4 linked regions of the Saccharomyces cerevisiae S288C genome follow. Changing the gene in region 4 together with the main gene of any one other region gives a genetic interaction. Each region holds a gene or a part of one and is shown on either strand. Other genes may lie near its edges.

Evidence for each region.
Region 1: of RHO1 (region 4) and ROM1, a mutation in one rescues a mutant of the other (synthetic rescue), as found in Saccharomyces cerevisiae (2 studies listed by BioGRID, with this or other methods).
Region 2: of RHO1 (region 4) and MID2, extra expression of one rescues a mutant of the other (dosage rescue), as found in Saccharomyces cerevisiae (4 studies listed by BioGRID).
Region 3: of RHO1 (region 4) and STE4, extra expression of one rescues a mutant of the other (dosage rescue), as found in Saccharomyces cerevisiae (2 studies listed by BioGRID).

Annotation. Positions count from the first base shown.
Region 1 is NC_001139.9:626,102-631,941, reverse strand, and holds ROM1 (Rho family guanine nucleotide exchange factor ROM1), read right to left. Parts: upstream 4,137-5,840; coding exon 669-4,136; downstream 1-668. Other genes in the region: ENV11 (Env11p), read left to right, coding at 1-461; ART5 (Art5p), read left to right, coding at 4,858-5,840. UniProt on the Saccharomyces cerevisiae protein: Stimulates the exchange of RHO1 GDP-bound form into GTP-bound form.
Region 2 is NC_001144.5:788,687-792,477, forward strand, and holds MID2 (Mid2p), read left to right. Parts: upstream 1-1,989; coding exon 1,990-3,120; downstream 3,121-3,791. Other genes in the region: CHS5 (Chs5p), read left to right, coding at 1-993; JIP3 (Jip3p), read right to left, coding at 1,983-2,360.
Region 3 is NC_001147.6:741,132-744,810, reverse strand, and holds STE4 (G protein subunit beta), read right to left. Parts: upstream 1,902-3,679; coding exon 630-1,901; downstream 1-629. Other genes in the region: SAS5 (Sas5p), read left to right, coding at 1-276; dynamin-related GTPase MGM1, read left to right, coding at 3,242-3,679. UniProt on the Saccharomyces cerevisiae protein: Implicated in the a- and alpha-factor response pathway. The beta and gamma chains of the putative yeast mating response pathway G protein play a positive role in initiation of the mating response.
Region 4 is NC_001148.4:873,692-876,532, reverse strand, and holds RHO1 (Rho family GTPase RHO1), read right to left. Parts: upstream 1,166-2,841; coding exon 536-1,165; downstream 1-535. Other genes in the region: mitochondrial 37S ribosomal protein uS14m MRP2, read left to right, coding at 1-251; MMS1 (Mms1p), read right to left, coding at 1,607-2,841. UniProt on the Saccharomyces cerevisiae protein: Acts as a central regulator in the cell wall integrity signaling pathway, which is regulated by the cell cycle and in response to various types of cell wall stress.

The sequences.
Region 1 (5,840 bases), on a different chromosome or scaffold from region 4:
CATTACTTGTCCAAATCATTCGGGATGATCTATTACGCTATGTCAACAGAATTGCGCATGAGCTGCCTAATGCATACCATGACTACTTAAATGATAATGATATTAGCTTCGATGGATCTCACTTTACAAAACATGAGTTATCTGAGGAAAACGACTCTAACTCGGGGGAATGGTGCCTAAATCCCATGGAAGAGACATTTGATATTCATATTCCTATCTCGGATTCAATTTGGAATAATTACATAAGCAGTAAAAACAAGATTGAAGTAATCGATATTTTACTTCAGTTGCTTTCAGTAAATTCGACATCTTCAATACGGTCAGAATTATCTTCTCTAACAGCTAATCAAGACTTCAGTACCAAGTTGAGTGAGGAAACAATTAAAATCAAACTTTTGAATTCACAGTTTAATCTCGAAAAAATTAATTTTCACTCTGGATCAATTTTCGATGCTTGCTAGTGACATAATATTCCAAAGGAAAGGACAATATACTTTCAAGACTTTATTTTCTAGGACAAAATTCTTGTCCATTGTATTATATTTTCTTAATGGCACCCATATATTTCAGGTAAACTACATATGGTTATACAAATAAAATAATATTACTTAAATTTAGATGTATAGGTTCAAGAAATAAGTTTTAAGGTATTAATATGGGCGGTCAACTCAAAAATTTAACAGTTCGATAATTTCAAATCCTTGAGGATCCTCATAACAATATAAGATCTTCTTGGCATATGATTTTAACATACGTATCTTGTTTCCAAGTACACAGCGGACAAGTTCTCCATTTTCTATATGTCTAATTTCAATAAAGTTACTATTAATTGCCACAATATAAGGGTAGGAACACGCGAACTGTTCTGGTTCCCCCTCCCAATGAAAACATCCCTTTGTCTCCTCCCTCTTCCCTTGCTTATTGAGAAAAAAGCAGAGTTCTGGAAAACATGCAAAAGTTGAATTTTTTATCGGAAACATGGAAACTACTTTGAACGTCTCTTTATACATGTTCGCTAAAACTTTGTTATCATGTAGATTTAAAAGCTCCCTCATTTTAAATCCATTTTTATCACACACTTCCGGTACGTTTAATATTTTGATATTTTTTTTACAACCAATGCAGATCTTATTCTCCAAAAAAGAAAAGGACAGAGGTTCAGAATCAACGCTAAAATCTACCAAGCCTGCCTTTAGGTTTTTTTTAAAATTACCGCTATTAAAATCAAATATCAAAGGATTAACAATCAATAATTGTACGGCGTGCAAAAAATGATGTGCAATCATAATGATTCTTTTACCATTACAGAAACCGTCTTTGAACATTGCAACATATTTAAATAACACTTTAGAATTTTTTCTGAAAAGAAAATCTGCATTTTCTGCATCGTCGATTACGTCTAAAGGACAGCCGTACAGTTTTTTGTCAATTAGAAGAATCATAACTTTATATTCTTCCAATACAGAGATCTGTGAAATTGATATTTTGTGCAGAAGGTGCACTGGTTTTTGATTGATCGATGTAGCATAATTAAGAACAAAGAGTCCCATATTTGTTGCAACCAATAAAATTTTACCAGCATGACAGATTAGGACATCGTTGACGCGATTAGTATTTATGTATGAGTGAAAGAATTGACCTACCATTTGCTTAAAAGTAATATGTTTAGTTTCATCAAGGAGCCTTTTTTGCTCTTGTTTCACCTTTTCTATTAATGTCTGTAATCCGGCCGGCTGCGGCGCGTACAAAGTAACTTGATATTGTTGTTTCGTACCGTAATAGGCGAATACAATAGCATTCTTGGGATTGCTCGTTTGATATTGGGGTAAGAGCACACCCGCTGAGCAATTTGGGTTTTCTGTCACATATCTTTTTATGGGTGGCATATCCTCAGCCGGACAAATAAACAGTAAAGGGAGTGGAATTGGTCTCTGAAATACAGTGTGTTGGTGCCACTTGTTTACAGCTTTTGATTTCAAGAATAATAGCATATTGTCGAGTAGGTAAAATTGAATGTCTCCTGAAAAGGACGCATCTGTTTTGTTCACGTCCTTCCTTGAGAGTAAACCTTCATGCTTGATTTTCCTTTTTTCGTTATTCAAACCCAGATTAACGTATTCATTTTTGAATAGAATTTTCTGCTTTAACACTTTAACGTCATAACGATCTTGTGCTGCACCGCTTGCTCTATCAATCCTTTTCATTAGATCCTTTAAAAGATCTTGGACTTTCATTAGCATTTGTAGATCATCTTTGTCTGTTACTGGGTCCGAGAAGTGTATTATTTCTCTTACCAACAGTGAATATCTACCAGGTCTTGAAACACCCTGAGATAGGAATGAATCGATCCCATGCCTCAGGGAAGAATTAGACACTTCATCGTCAAAACGAGCAAAATTGGGATTAACTGATCTTTGGGTTTCAATTAGATACTTTGCGTATGGTCTTGATGCTATGTATGACAGAAAAGGATCAAAGAAAGGAAGATACTGCAAAAATATATCTGCAATTCCAGGACAAATTGGGCTTAATGATTGCCTTTGTGCTAAAGCCTTCAAAAATTCTCTATTGACAGAATATATTTCATTGATATGTGCGAAAACGTGCTTTACAAAATTTATCCTTACATCAGATGGAATAATATTCGTTTCTAATAATTTCTTCATGAAAGTATCTCGGATGATTTCCAAAGATTTTACAAACTTCTTTTCTGTAGTAAACAACTCATATATTGCCTCCTGCCTTTTGATTTGTTGTTTGGATAATGATTCCCATACGCTCTTTGGTACAGAATTTGTCCAGGAAATTCGTTCATCATCCTCCTTATCGAGTGCTAACGAAATATTTCTCTTAAGACCACCACCTAATTTTAAATGTAAATTAGCCTGTTGTTGCAAACGATTGGGGCAAGAAATAGAGTAGCAAAGTTTTTCCAGAGAGCATGTAGAGGAATAACAATGTGTCAATGGGACAAAAACACCATATATTTCAGTTTTAGTACGGAGCGAATTAACTGAAGAAGATGATGAAGAAAATGTGTTGGCAATTGAAGTAGAACTCTGCGACTGATGTGCCATAAAAATTGATTCTGAAGATAACTCGTAAATCTCCAGTACAGAATCTCTTACGCCATGGTCATAAAGTACGTCATGGAACAATTTTTGAGCTTCCAGCGATTTTCCGATCAACATGCCCAAATTACGATCTAAGCTTCCTATGATCAAGCATAAAGTATCAATTGCTTGTTTTCCTGTAAAGGAATCTCTGTAAAGTAACCCCATCTTTTTATGCGTGCTCAATTTGATGGTCTGTTTGAATTTAATTGCTATTAGTGATAAAAGTGCAGGATAAACCAAAGGCGTGCCTTTGATCATGGATATTTCCGTCAGAGAGACAGGACTTGATTTGGACCTTGAATGATGACGTTGGTGTTGATTAGTATGGCGTCGATATTGACTAGAATGATTGGAAGAGTTTGATGAGCGTCTATTTTGGGTTTTCAGTGACTCTAATGCAAATAAAGAAGAGGTGCTAGAAGAACTATGTTTTCCATTGAATGAACTGTGTAACTCCATCGTGTGACCTGCACTTTTGGGAGTTGGAGGCGTAGATAGCTGGTTTGGATCCCCCATATGACTGCCACTGTTTTTGGAAAATGATAATAGTGAAGGAGATGAATGTTTTCTTACGTGAGGAAGCAAAACATTCGATCTTTTTTGAGAAGGTGATGAAGTGGTAGTGCAACTGTTACCTTTATCTTGTCTGGTCGAATCATTTATTGAAATTTTTTTATTAGTAGGTGAAATCTGATCGCCTGTGAAGGATTGTGGACTTGAATTAAGGTTTGTTGAAATATGTAGGACAGGAGATGCCTTTAATTGGTGGGAAGAACAGTCCGGTGCTATCCTATACCGTGCACCGGTGTCGTGCCCTAGTGTATAATCCTTCAATGAAGCCTTATTTTCATCTTCAGTACTATCTTCATCCTCATCGTTAGTGATAGAAATTTCATTGATGTTTGTCTGAACTTTGGAGCCGGAGAACAACTGAGTAGGGGTTGAAGTATCTGATTTTCTTTTCTTACCGAATATCTCATAAAAATATTTATTTCTTAGATCCAGTTCATTACTATTCATAACCTAACCAAATTCTTACCAACGACTTGGTTTTATTTATATCATTACTAAATCAACAAAATTTTTGCTTTAAAATTCAAACGTGGCGTTCTTTTTTTTGATTTAGTTTTATTTATTTACTTTTTCATTCAAGAGCAAAGAAAAGTTTAAAATTAACGATTCTCCCTTGGGCCCCTTATGATATGTCTAAATATTGCCGTTTTAGGGCAAAAAAGATGAAGTGCGTTTACTTTCGTATAGAGTTTGTAGATATGACATTGGCAACAAAAAATCATGGGAAATTTAAGAAACATACAAACGTATGCGTGAAAAAAAAATCGACACTAGACGCACTAGGTGGTGCTTAATTGGAGTACTGGAGCGCTCCTTTAGATACAAGATGACAATTTATTGAAGATCGAGTAGGGGACGGATTACTCCCACATTAAACAGCAGGTCTTTCTTATTATAAGGAATACAAAAACAATTGAAGTAAAATGTTAGATCTAAAAATGTTTCTTTGTCTTGCTTTGTATGTATGTAATAATATACTCCTGAATACTTCACTTCGTCTTTTACAATTCTAAAAAGGCAGTTTCTTCGAAAACTGAAAAAAAAAAAAAAAAAAAAAAAAAAAAAAGAAATAGAAGGAAAATGAAACAGATGATTAGGATGAGTATAAGATGGCAAAAGTAAAAAATATCTTGTACAGCTCTCGGCGAGAATAGGGTGAAGCAAGACCATGTTTTCACTTAGTTCGCTATCTAGCAGCGGTGGGCATTCAGAGCAGAAGGAAAGAGAGAGAATAAGTTATTTTGATATTAGAATAAACTCCCCGTACAAGGACATAATTTTGATCCAAGGGTCACCGTTGGAACTGTCGTCTATACCTTTATCAGGAAACTTAGTGATTTCAGTGAAAAATGAGATCGTAGTGAAGAAAATTTCGCTGAGATTGGTAGGAAGATTCAAATTGGAGTTTTTGCAAGTTGGCCGATATAAGAAGAATAGCAGTAGTTTGGCAAGTCTAGTTAAGGAAAAGCGTAAGATTTTCGAATGCTATTGGGACAACTTATTGGTTTCTTCAAAAGGGGATGTTTTAGTCGGTGGGGAAAATGCGGAAAATCAACATAACAGTAGTAGCGGTCGCAGTACAAGCAACCAAGATATGGACACCAGCGGCAACGCAATATTTCTAAGCAAGAGATCACTTTCGAGCCCTGTTTTCAACAAAATAATTCGAAGAAAGACCCATTCTTCCCACAGAAAAATACTAGAGCTACCAGAAAATGGTGTTACAGGAACCCCTTTCGAGGGTTTAAGAGAAAACGCCCGTAGTAGAAGCAGTAGTAGTAACACCCTCAATAACAATAGCCATAGTTATAGTAACAGAGACGGGTCTGGAAGTTCGTACTTATTCCTAATGAAAAGAGGCAACTACGAACTACCCTTCAATACAATGCTCCCCCCAGAAGTGTGCGAAACAATCGAGGGACTACAAAGTGGTAGCATACTGTATTCCTTTGAAGCCATTATAGATGGACGTCAGTTATGGGATACTGATCTGAGCGTTCATACTTCTCCTCACGGTCCAATCGGTAGCACAAGTACGAGCGGCAATGGTATGAGAACGAAGAATAAAATTATCATCAAAAAGTTCAAGTATCTCAGAATCCTTCGTACATTATCGATGGACAATCTTGCCATGCAAGAAGAAATTAGCGT
Region 2 (3,791 bases), on a different chromosome or scaffold from region 4:
GATCCATTGCATGCTTCGACGGCTTTGGAGAATGAAACCACCATCGAAACCGTCAACCCCTCCGTAAGAAGTTTGAAAAGCGAACCTGTTGGTACTCCCAATATAGAGGAAAACAAAGCGGACTCTTCCGCAGAAGCCGTGGTAGAAGAACCGAATGAAGCTGTGGCTGAAAGTTCTCCAAATGAAGAAGCAACGGGACAGAAAAGTGAGGATACCGATACACATTCTAACGAACAAGCTGATAATGGATTTGTACAGACTGAAGAAGTAGCTGAAAACAACATAACCACAGAAAGTGCAGGGGAAAATAACGAACCTGCAGATGATGCAGCAATGGAATTTGGACGTCCAGAAGCTGAAATTGAAACTCCAGAAGTAAATGAGTCTATAGAAGATGCCAATGAACCTGCGGAGGATTCCAATGAACCTGTGGAGGATTCCAACAAACCTGTGAAGGATTCCAACAAACCTGTGGAGGATTCCAACAAACCTGTGGAGGATTCCAACAAACCTGTGGAGGATTCCAACAAACCTGTGGAGGATGCCAATGAACCTGTGGAAGATACCAGTGAACCTGTGGAGGATGCCGGTGAACCCGTACAAGAAACCAACGAGTTTACTACCGACATTGCCTCTCCAAGACATCAAGAAGAAGATATAGAACTTGAAGCCGAACCTAAAGATGCTACCGAAAGTGTTGCAGTCGAGCCATCCAATGAAGATGTAAAACCAGAAGAAAAAGGTTCAGAGGCAGAAGACGATATCAACAACGTTTCCAAGGAGGCTGCCTCTGGTGAGAGTACTACCCACCAAAAAACTGAGGCCTCTGCTTCTCTTGAAAGCAGTGCCGTCACGGAAGAACAAGAGACAACGGAAGCCGAAGTAAATACAGATGACGTTTTGTCCACTAAAGAAGCTAAAAAAAATACTGGCAACAGCAACAGTAATAAGAAGAAGAATAAGAAGAATAAGAAGAAAGGGAAAAAGAAATGATTAATGGATGCCTTCAATGAGTTCCACGACGCACGTTTATTTTTTCGACTGAGAATCCCTCAGCAAATATAATCTATTTTTTATATATCTGTGTATATGTAAGCATGTATAACTAGTTACAAATATGATAACTGCTTTGGCGATCACTTCATTTTCTTGAGAGGGGTACTCAGTAGCCGCCAAGCACGAAATGTCCGTTATTAAAAATTGGGGAGTGAATCTTAAAAGCCCGAAAAGGAAATTCAAAATCTGTCTATTTATAGGCCGTCGCGCTCTACGAAAACGCGAAATTATTCAAACGGAAAACGGAAAAAAATCTAAAAAAAGAAATTAATTGAGAGATCTCACGGAAATGCCGCGAGGAATGTTTCTCGAGGCTGAGCGGCGTGGTCTGTGCAAAAAAATGGCAATTTTTTTGTAGGAGTTTGCATTGGGCCATTCAGAAGGAGCACCGTTAGATGGGATGGTAAATGAATTTGCTGTTTCAGATTTGAATCAATCTTTACCCGTTATTTTTGCCGTTTTGCTTTCATAATCTGCAAATTAACAAAGTCATAAAGAACATAAAGACATCACCCCAGTTTTTACACTCTTTTTTCCTGTGTTTGGTTTAGCACAACTTTCCAATAACCAAGTTGGTTTCAGATCATCCCCATATTATTTTCTAGTTTCATTTACTTACCAAACTCACCATTCAAGGCTTTCAAATTAAGTTACGAGTACAGTGGACCATTTTTTTCTGATTCTTCATATTTTCCGTTATAAGTCTTATAAGGAAGGTATACATTTATATTGCGAATTTGAAAAATAATTTAAAGCTGACTTTGCGTTTTAGGTAGGCTAGAAAAGAATACAACTATCCCTAAACACATTCTAGATTCACGAAGACGCCTCTGCCTCAAAGACATACTATATTTTTACTCTCGTTGAACAAATAGTACCATTATTTCGCTACTTTCGTTGAAGATTGGACATATAAAATACGCAAATCATAGTATGTTGTCTTTCACAACCAAGAATAGTTTCCGCTTATTACTTTTAATACTGTCATGCATATCGACGATACGCGCACAATTTTTCGTGCAATCATCATCTTCGAATTCTTCAGCAGTATCTACTGCACGTTCTTCCGTAAGTAGAGTTAGTTCTTCAAGTTCCATTTTGTCATCCAGTATGGTTTCTTCCTCAAGTGCTGACTCATCTTCCCTTACTTCATCGACATCAAGTAGGTCCCTCGTGTCACATACGAGTTCGTCTACCAGCATTGCCTCCATATCGTTCACATCATTCAGTTTCTCATCAGATTCAAGCACCAGCAGCTCTTCCTCTGCTTCTTCAGATTCTTCATCCTCCTCATCCTTTTCCATCTCTTCGACATCCGCAACTTCTGAATCATCGACGTCTTCTACGCAAACGTCAACATCATCTTCATCCTCACTGTCGTCAACGCCGTCCTCTTCATCATCCCCATCAACAATCACTTCTGCACCTTCAACCTCCTCCACACCATCCACTACTGCCTATAATCAAGGAAGCACTATCACCAGTATTATTAACGGTAAGACGATTCTCTCAAATCATTATACTACCGTTACGTACACACCATCAGCAACCGCTGATTCAAGCAATAAATCCAAAAGTTCGGGTCTTTCTAAAAAAAATAGAAACATCGTCATTGGTTGTGTGGTTGGTATTGGTGTACCACTGATTCTGGTGATACTGGCTTTAATTTACATGTTTTGTATCCAATCATCAAGGACGGACTTTATTGACTCAGATGGTAAGGTCGTTACGGCATATAGAGCTAACAAATTTACGAAATGGTGGTATATGCTTTTGGGTAAGAAAGTTAGTGATGAATACCACTCCGATTCACCATTAGGTGGTAGTGCATCGTCCGCAGGTGGTTTAGACCTAGATGAAGCAGATGATGTGATGGAGCAAAGCTCCCTTTTCGACGTCAGAATAAGAGATAGCGATAGCGTATTACCAAACGCCAACACCGCCGACCATAATAATACCAATAGCGGTGGAGAGCCTATAAATAGTAGCGTTGCGTCAAATGACATAATAGAAGAAAAATTCTATGATGAACAAGGTAACGAATTATCACCACGAAATTATTAATCATATCCATTCATATCATTTAGTGCTTATGGCTACTTTTCATTCCTCAATTATTGTAAATTGACCATCTTAATTATATTTCTGATATTGAGTAGGTGGACTTCATTAGTATTTTTACAAATATTATCACCTTCTTATGTAGGATTAGCATTACATACCCTCTAATTAAAAAAAGTTAACATTAATTACATTTTAAAAAAAATTGTAATAGTATGATAGTAGGACCTGACAGCCATTTGAATAAGGTTTCGAGTGCTTTAACGTTCCACTGATTTTATGTAGTTCATATGGGGGTTAGTCTGGTTTGAGGAGGAGAATTTCAGGGAAGCAGTGGCCGTTGAATCTCCCTGTAGGGCGCTGATTATTTTTATCCTAATAATCCAAAAATGACAATGTCAATAAAGAAAACTTACCGAGTTCTGTGAATTTCTCCCTAAAAAATTACTAATTATACCTGGGCGAGTTTTGAACTCTTTGGCAAATAAACTTGGGGTAAACCTTTCGATTATAAAGACGTTACTGCTCAAAAATGTGTAGAAGCATAAGGAGATATTCTCTCGTATGTTTAATTGGAGTTGGCTTTTTTGGACTCTGAAGTTTGAGTATGGGAGGGGAAGTAATCGAGATTAGATTCCCTGATGTTCACATATGGGGATAAAGAATGCTTTTTG
Region 3 (3,679 bases), on a different chromosome or scaffold from region 4:
TGGATTAAAAGCCTTGCGCTTATAGATGAGGATATGATGACGGACGTGGTTCAGATGATATTGAATGATCCTGCAGTACAGAGAGCAATTGAAAATCATCCCAGAAGGGAGCAGTTTTTTATGTTTATAACACAACTACCAGATGATTTGTTAATGAAAATTCAGGCATTTTTGAAATTACCGAACAAAAATTCCACTAAACAAGAAAGGACAAATTTTGGGTCAGACGCAATACATAAGGACGAGCCAGTGAAGGCTCATAACAAGCTAAAGTAGGGACAGCCATCATGAAATTAAACAATGCCTGAAAACATAGATGATTCTAGCAAGTTGGTCAAATAAGTCAGTGAATAATACTGTTTCCAAAACGATTGAAAAGAATTTTTGAGTGCATGACACTTTTGTTCGTTTTTGTTTCGTTTATCCAAAGAGAAAAAGGAAGCAAATGACAATGCTTTGAATTTTCATTGTTGAATGTTTTGACTTACTTTATTAAAGGACGTTTTTGCGCTTCCACAGAACTAATGTTACTGTTGTTATTCTATGTAAATATGGGATGGGTGTAGGTATGTATATTTATATAATAGCATCCATTGATAATTACTGCTCACAGTATTTCCAATTCGAAGCTATTGATAACCTGGAGACCATATTTTCATGGTTGAGTCCCATGAACCTGTACATACAGCTAACCCATCTGGACTCGAGCGCACACCAGTGACTCTGCCACCATGACCTTCTAATTTTCCAACAATCTCTCCTTTTAATACATCCCACACAACACAACCAATGTCTGTATAGCATGAGTACATCAATCTTCCAGATGCACTAAAATCTAAAGAAACAACGCCTTGGTTGTCTAGATAGCTTGAGCTTGTTGATTTTAAAGTTTGTGGCGATTGCGCGGTATTGTACTCCATGTTAGCTGCCATATAAGTAGGGGTAGGGGTACGTTCTTCATAACCTCGAAAAAGAGAAAAAGTAGCAATAGAACAGTCCGACCTTAAATCATACATATTTATCGCACCATTGTCACTTCCTGCAACAATCGACATCCCGTCTTTGAAAAAACGAAGTGCATTAATATCACTATCGTTAACGTAAAAGCTTTGTACAGCGGACGGAGATCTGCTATCCCATATGTAAGTATACCCGTCTGATCCACAGCTAGCGAATGTGTTCGAAGAATTTTCTGAGTTTGGCTCTTCAGGAATAGCTAATGCCAAAACATCACCTAAATGGTCAGAATATTCTCTCACCCTCTTTGCTTTCGGTATATCCCACAAGGCACATGTCATATCCCCACTTGCTGTCAATATATGTGCGTTATCTGTAAATTCAATGTCAGAAATATAGCAAGTATGTCCTTTGAAAATTGACGCAACGTTTTGCGCTACTCTGTTTTCTTTCGAAACTCTATAAATGGTACAGTTATTGTTTAATCCTGCGCTTGCTACCAAAGTACTCGATGGCGAAATAGCGCAGGAAAGAACCCATTGAGAATCTAATGGAATAGCGTTCTGTTTTAAACCTGAAGCACTGTCCCATATAAGCATAAAGCCATCTTGACTTGCACTCAAAATACGTTTTGAATCTCGACTCCACCGAAAATCTGAGATTTTATTATTATGGCCTTTCAACACGATATTTGGCTTTAAGTTGATCTTATTTTTGGTCAACGAAGTAACTTTGTTGGCCATCTGGAATAAGCTTGCATCTTGTATCTTGTGTTTTGCTTTATTTATTTGAGCATGAAGCTGTTTACTCTCTTGTCTGGCGGCCTCTATTTTATTTTGAATTTCATCCTCCACTGCAGAGATATCCTGTAGACTTTGTGGTTGTATATACTGTTGGGTGACATTATTAGAATACGTTATCGAGTCCATCTGATGTGCTGCCATCGTAATGTGTACCTGATTGAGCTGTACAGTTTTTTGAGTATTTTCTTCCTTGACTTAATGAACTAGCAATATCGTATTTTCTTCCCTCTTTCCTTCCAATAATTCTGGCCTATTGACCTTGAGTTCTGGCACAAAGGAGATTATGAATAAAATGTGCTTTACAGCGAGTTACTACAAAAAGGGGAAGAAAACAATTAGAAAAGTGATAAGAGATTTTGAGGATACTGTTTCGATATTGAAGGGATTCAAGTCATGTGAAGGATGGACTTCCAAAAAAGTTTTATGTTTGAAAGTTTAAGTTACAACTAATATGAAACAGGCAAGTGTCAGTTGAAAACAATCTGAAAAAATTTTCGACACACAGAAAAACAACTGTTGGGTAAACCTAACAGGGCTACAAGTCAATCTGTTAAGGCAAAAAGCCTCACAAACTTTTTCCTGCGTAACACATGTGTCTTTTTTTTACGCAGTATCTCTTCCTGAAACATTTTTCAACGCGTGTAAAAATTTGCATCTGACGAAAGTGCGTACAAAGGGTTGTGGTCCCAAAAGAGGTAGTACACGCCGAGAATTTGCACAGGGTACTGGTTACAAAAGGTAAGTACCCCCCGCAGGGACGGTTGAAGCTATTGAATCTTCGTCTCATCGGCTGATATCAAAATCCGATCATACATACCCATCTCAATCTCAATAATTGACATTTCATTTAGCCAGAGAAGAACATCGACAAGTAAGCTGTTCTTCTGCTCGCTAATGGTAAATGAAGTAGTCGCTCTTAAGTAATTATAAATAGTACATCTCTCTCAGCGGATGACATATTGTGATAAAATTTTAACGCAGGTGTCAGTAAATAACAGAGTTGTAATTAGTTTTAACTGCAAAAGACTTCGCAAAGAACATATGGCGGGGTTTATCCTTGAAAAAACGGTTTCCATAGGAAGCCTAAAATATGAATGGATCTAGTGTACTCTTTGAGGAAATATATTTCAAATATTTCTGTCCATGAAAGATTTACTATGAAATTAACCCTCATTCAGCGCTTCGTATTCGATGATCAATATGCAAGTTGTTAATATTTCCTTGTACCGTTAAAAACAAAATAGTAGCGTTCTATTGAAAGGCAAGACATAATCAGCTAGGAAGGTTCACACCAGTTAACGGGAGAACACGAAAAAGCCTCTTTTTGGGTAGTACAGATATCATTTTATTCTTAGGCTTTTCCATTCTTTTCGTACTTATAATATAGCCTCGCATATTCACCATAATACTCTGAAAGCATGAGTAATTCTACTTCATTAAGGGCCATCCCAAGAGTGGCGAACTATAACACATTAGTAAGGATGAATGCGAGCCCAGTACGGCTTTTAATTCTGAGAAGACAGCTTGCTACGCATCCGGCGATACTATATAGCTCTCCTTACATCAAAAGTCCGTTGGTGCACTTACACAGCCGCATGAGCAATGTTCACAGATCAGCACATGCCAATGCTTTGAGTTTTGTTATCACCAGGAGATCGATATCACATTTTCCTAAAATTATATCTAAAATTATTAGGTTACCCATATATGTGGGTGGCGGGATGGCTGCTGCAGGGAGTTATATAGCTTATAAGATGGAAGAAGCTAGCTCTTTTACTAAGGACAAACTAGATCGAATCAAGGATTTAGGTGAATCGATGAAGGAAAAGTTTAATAAAATGTTTTCCGGTGATAAGTCACAAGACGGTGGTCATGGAAACGATGGAACGGTGCCAACTGCTACTCTAATAGCCGCTACA
Region 4 (2,841 bases):
AGAATGAAATCCTTGTTAAATCTTTGAAATTCATCGCTAGAAATATGAACCTTCCAACAAAACTGAGGTTGGAGGCTCAGTTAAAACTAAATGCATTGCCAAACTACATGAGATCTACGCAGATCAAAAATAGGTGCGTGGACTCTGGACATGCAAGATTTGTTCTAAGTGATTTTAGGTTGTGTAGGTATCAATTTAGAGAAAACGCTCTGAAGGGTAATTTGCCAGGTGTTAAGAAGGGTATTTGGTAAAAAATTTTATCGCGAAAGTATATATATATATATATATAGGATACGCACTTGTAAATAAATACATGATAATTTTTATTCTTCTTTAATAGATGATAATACTTACTGAGCAATACACTTATATGTAGAGAAGAATAAGATTATACACATACTGGGAGAAAAACAAGTAGCTATAGTTAGAGCTAAAATAACAAAAAAAGGCATACGTACATACAATGAGAAAAGGAATGGGATTGAAAAAGGGCAGTATCTGCCACTAAGTTAACGACTGAGAGATCGAGACACTCCTATAACAAGACACACTTCTTCTTCTTCTTTTCAGTAGTGTTCTTCTTAGCTTTACCATTCGTTTTAGATTTACCCATCAATGAAGCTCTAGTGGCGGCCTCAAACACTTCTCTGACACCATAACCAGTCTTGGCCGAACATTCGTAGTATCCGGTTGCGCCAATCTGGTCTGCTACAGATTGTCCCTCCTGTGATGTAACGGGTTGTTGACCTTCTTGTCTTAATTGTTCAATGGTTTGTGGGTCGTTTCTCAAATCCACTTTACAACCAACAAGAATAATTGGCACACCTTGACAGAAATGTAATACTTCGGCAATCCATTTTTCTTGTACATTCTCTAAAGAATCTGGAAGATCGATAGAGAAACAAATTAATACGACATTGGAGTCTGGGTATGACAATGGTCTTAGTCTATCATAATCTTCTTGACCAGCGGTATCCCATAGCGCTAGCTCTACACGACGCCCATCAACTTCAACATCTGCTACATAGTTTTCAAAGACAGTTGGTACGTAGACTTCTGGAAATTGGCCCTTGGAAAAGACGATTAATAAACATGTCTTACCACAGGCACCATCACCAACGATTACCAGCTTTCTTCTGATACTGTTACCAACTTGTTGTGACATCTTTCTAGTATAATTTTTAAAGTTCTATGATTTTCTATTAGTGCAACAATAAACCTCTAACAGCGATTCTTTTGTTTTATTAATTTTGTTCCTTTTTTGAGTTTTGTAACTTTAAGTTTGGGTTGTTCCAAAAATGTTTTTGCAATACTCAGAGGAATGATCGATGGTCGAAACGATATTAAAGACGAATTCCTGCTGGTAAAATAAATATATACGATTAGGATAAAGAAGTATTTGTATCAACTACTAAAACATGTAGTACCCAATACAAATCAAACAAAAATTGTATAATCTGTTTATTTTTTTTTCTGAGGCGAAGCAAATTGGAAACAACAAGAATTCTTGTATCTTTTTTTAGCCCCTTGTCACGCTGCACGACGCGTAGCACATTGATCGAGAATCACGATTTTATCAGCGACAATGTTATTGGAAATGAGGGAATTATACTGTGTTCTTGCAGTTATCGCTAAGGTTCCATAACCCAACCTCACAGATGAGGTCAGATTTAACTATTGACCTTCTTGAAACCAAATAGCCAGAATTCCATCTTGGTTCGTATTCGTCCTGGCAAGGCAACCTGTCCTTGCCGAATTTGTGAATTGTTTGATCTGCCATTAGCACATATAAAGTTTGTACTGCGGGATCGTAACTAATATCTTGAATAGGCTTGTCCAATGCTACCGCATTATAGGGAGATAGTCTTTTAGTTCTCATTGCAGTGCTTCCTAATATAGAACTTATATCCTCAAAATAACGGGATGATACATGATCCTCATATACTATAGTGGCGGCTCGGCGTAGTGAAGGTTTTGGTGTAGAAGAGTGGTTTCGCCAAAAGAGTAGTAAATTTCTACGCTGCCTTAGGGCAACCTCTGCTTCGTCATTCTCCGACCGTATGCCTTCGCTGTAACGATTTACGTGCCTCTCACCATGTAAAACATCATACAAAGCCATAGTGCCAAATTGAAATCCTTCAGGAAAGTCAACCTCGAATATGTCGTCGACTCTCCCATTCCCATATTCATCTGGTAGGCTGCCTGTTTCGTTATTAAGCCCAACTTTGATGGTGGGTAAAGAGTAAAAAATTAATCTTGAATCTAAATCGTTCCTATTTCCACAGTAAGCGGCAACAACAAAGCAGCATTCATTTAATGGTATTATCTTTTGAACTTTTGAATCAGGATACATTTCCAAGGGATACACCCTTCTCGATTCGTCAGATGATGAAGAGAAATCCTTAATCAAGTAGAGCTTTTCGCCCATATTTGTGGTAGCAATGATATTATCGCCTACTACAGTAAACGTCTTAACTGTACTCCAACTCTTAAATGTAAACCGGGTTTCCAAAGTGAGCCGCAAAGTCGTATTATTTCTCTCCTCCTGGTCAATGCAATGTTTTGTGACTTTCAACTTGTTAAAGGACATTTCGTTATCGGTGCCCATAACTTTATAATCCAGAAAGAATATTTCACCTCTGGGAGTAATGACCAAATGATTGAGGAGTCTTGAATTGTCAAGTTTATACGAATCTATTATTTGATTGGAAATTTTGTTTTTTGCAGCAGTTAATAAAACTAGTTTTAATGAGCTAGTAAAAGAGATCAATAATACAGTTTTCTTTTCTAAAGGATTGTCCTCTGTTGCTATTGGTAATTCCTTTATTTCTAGGATTTCTT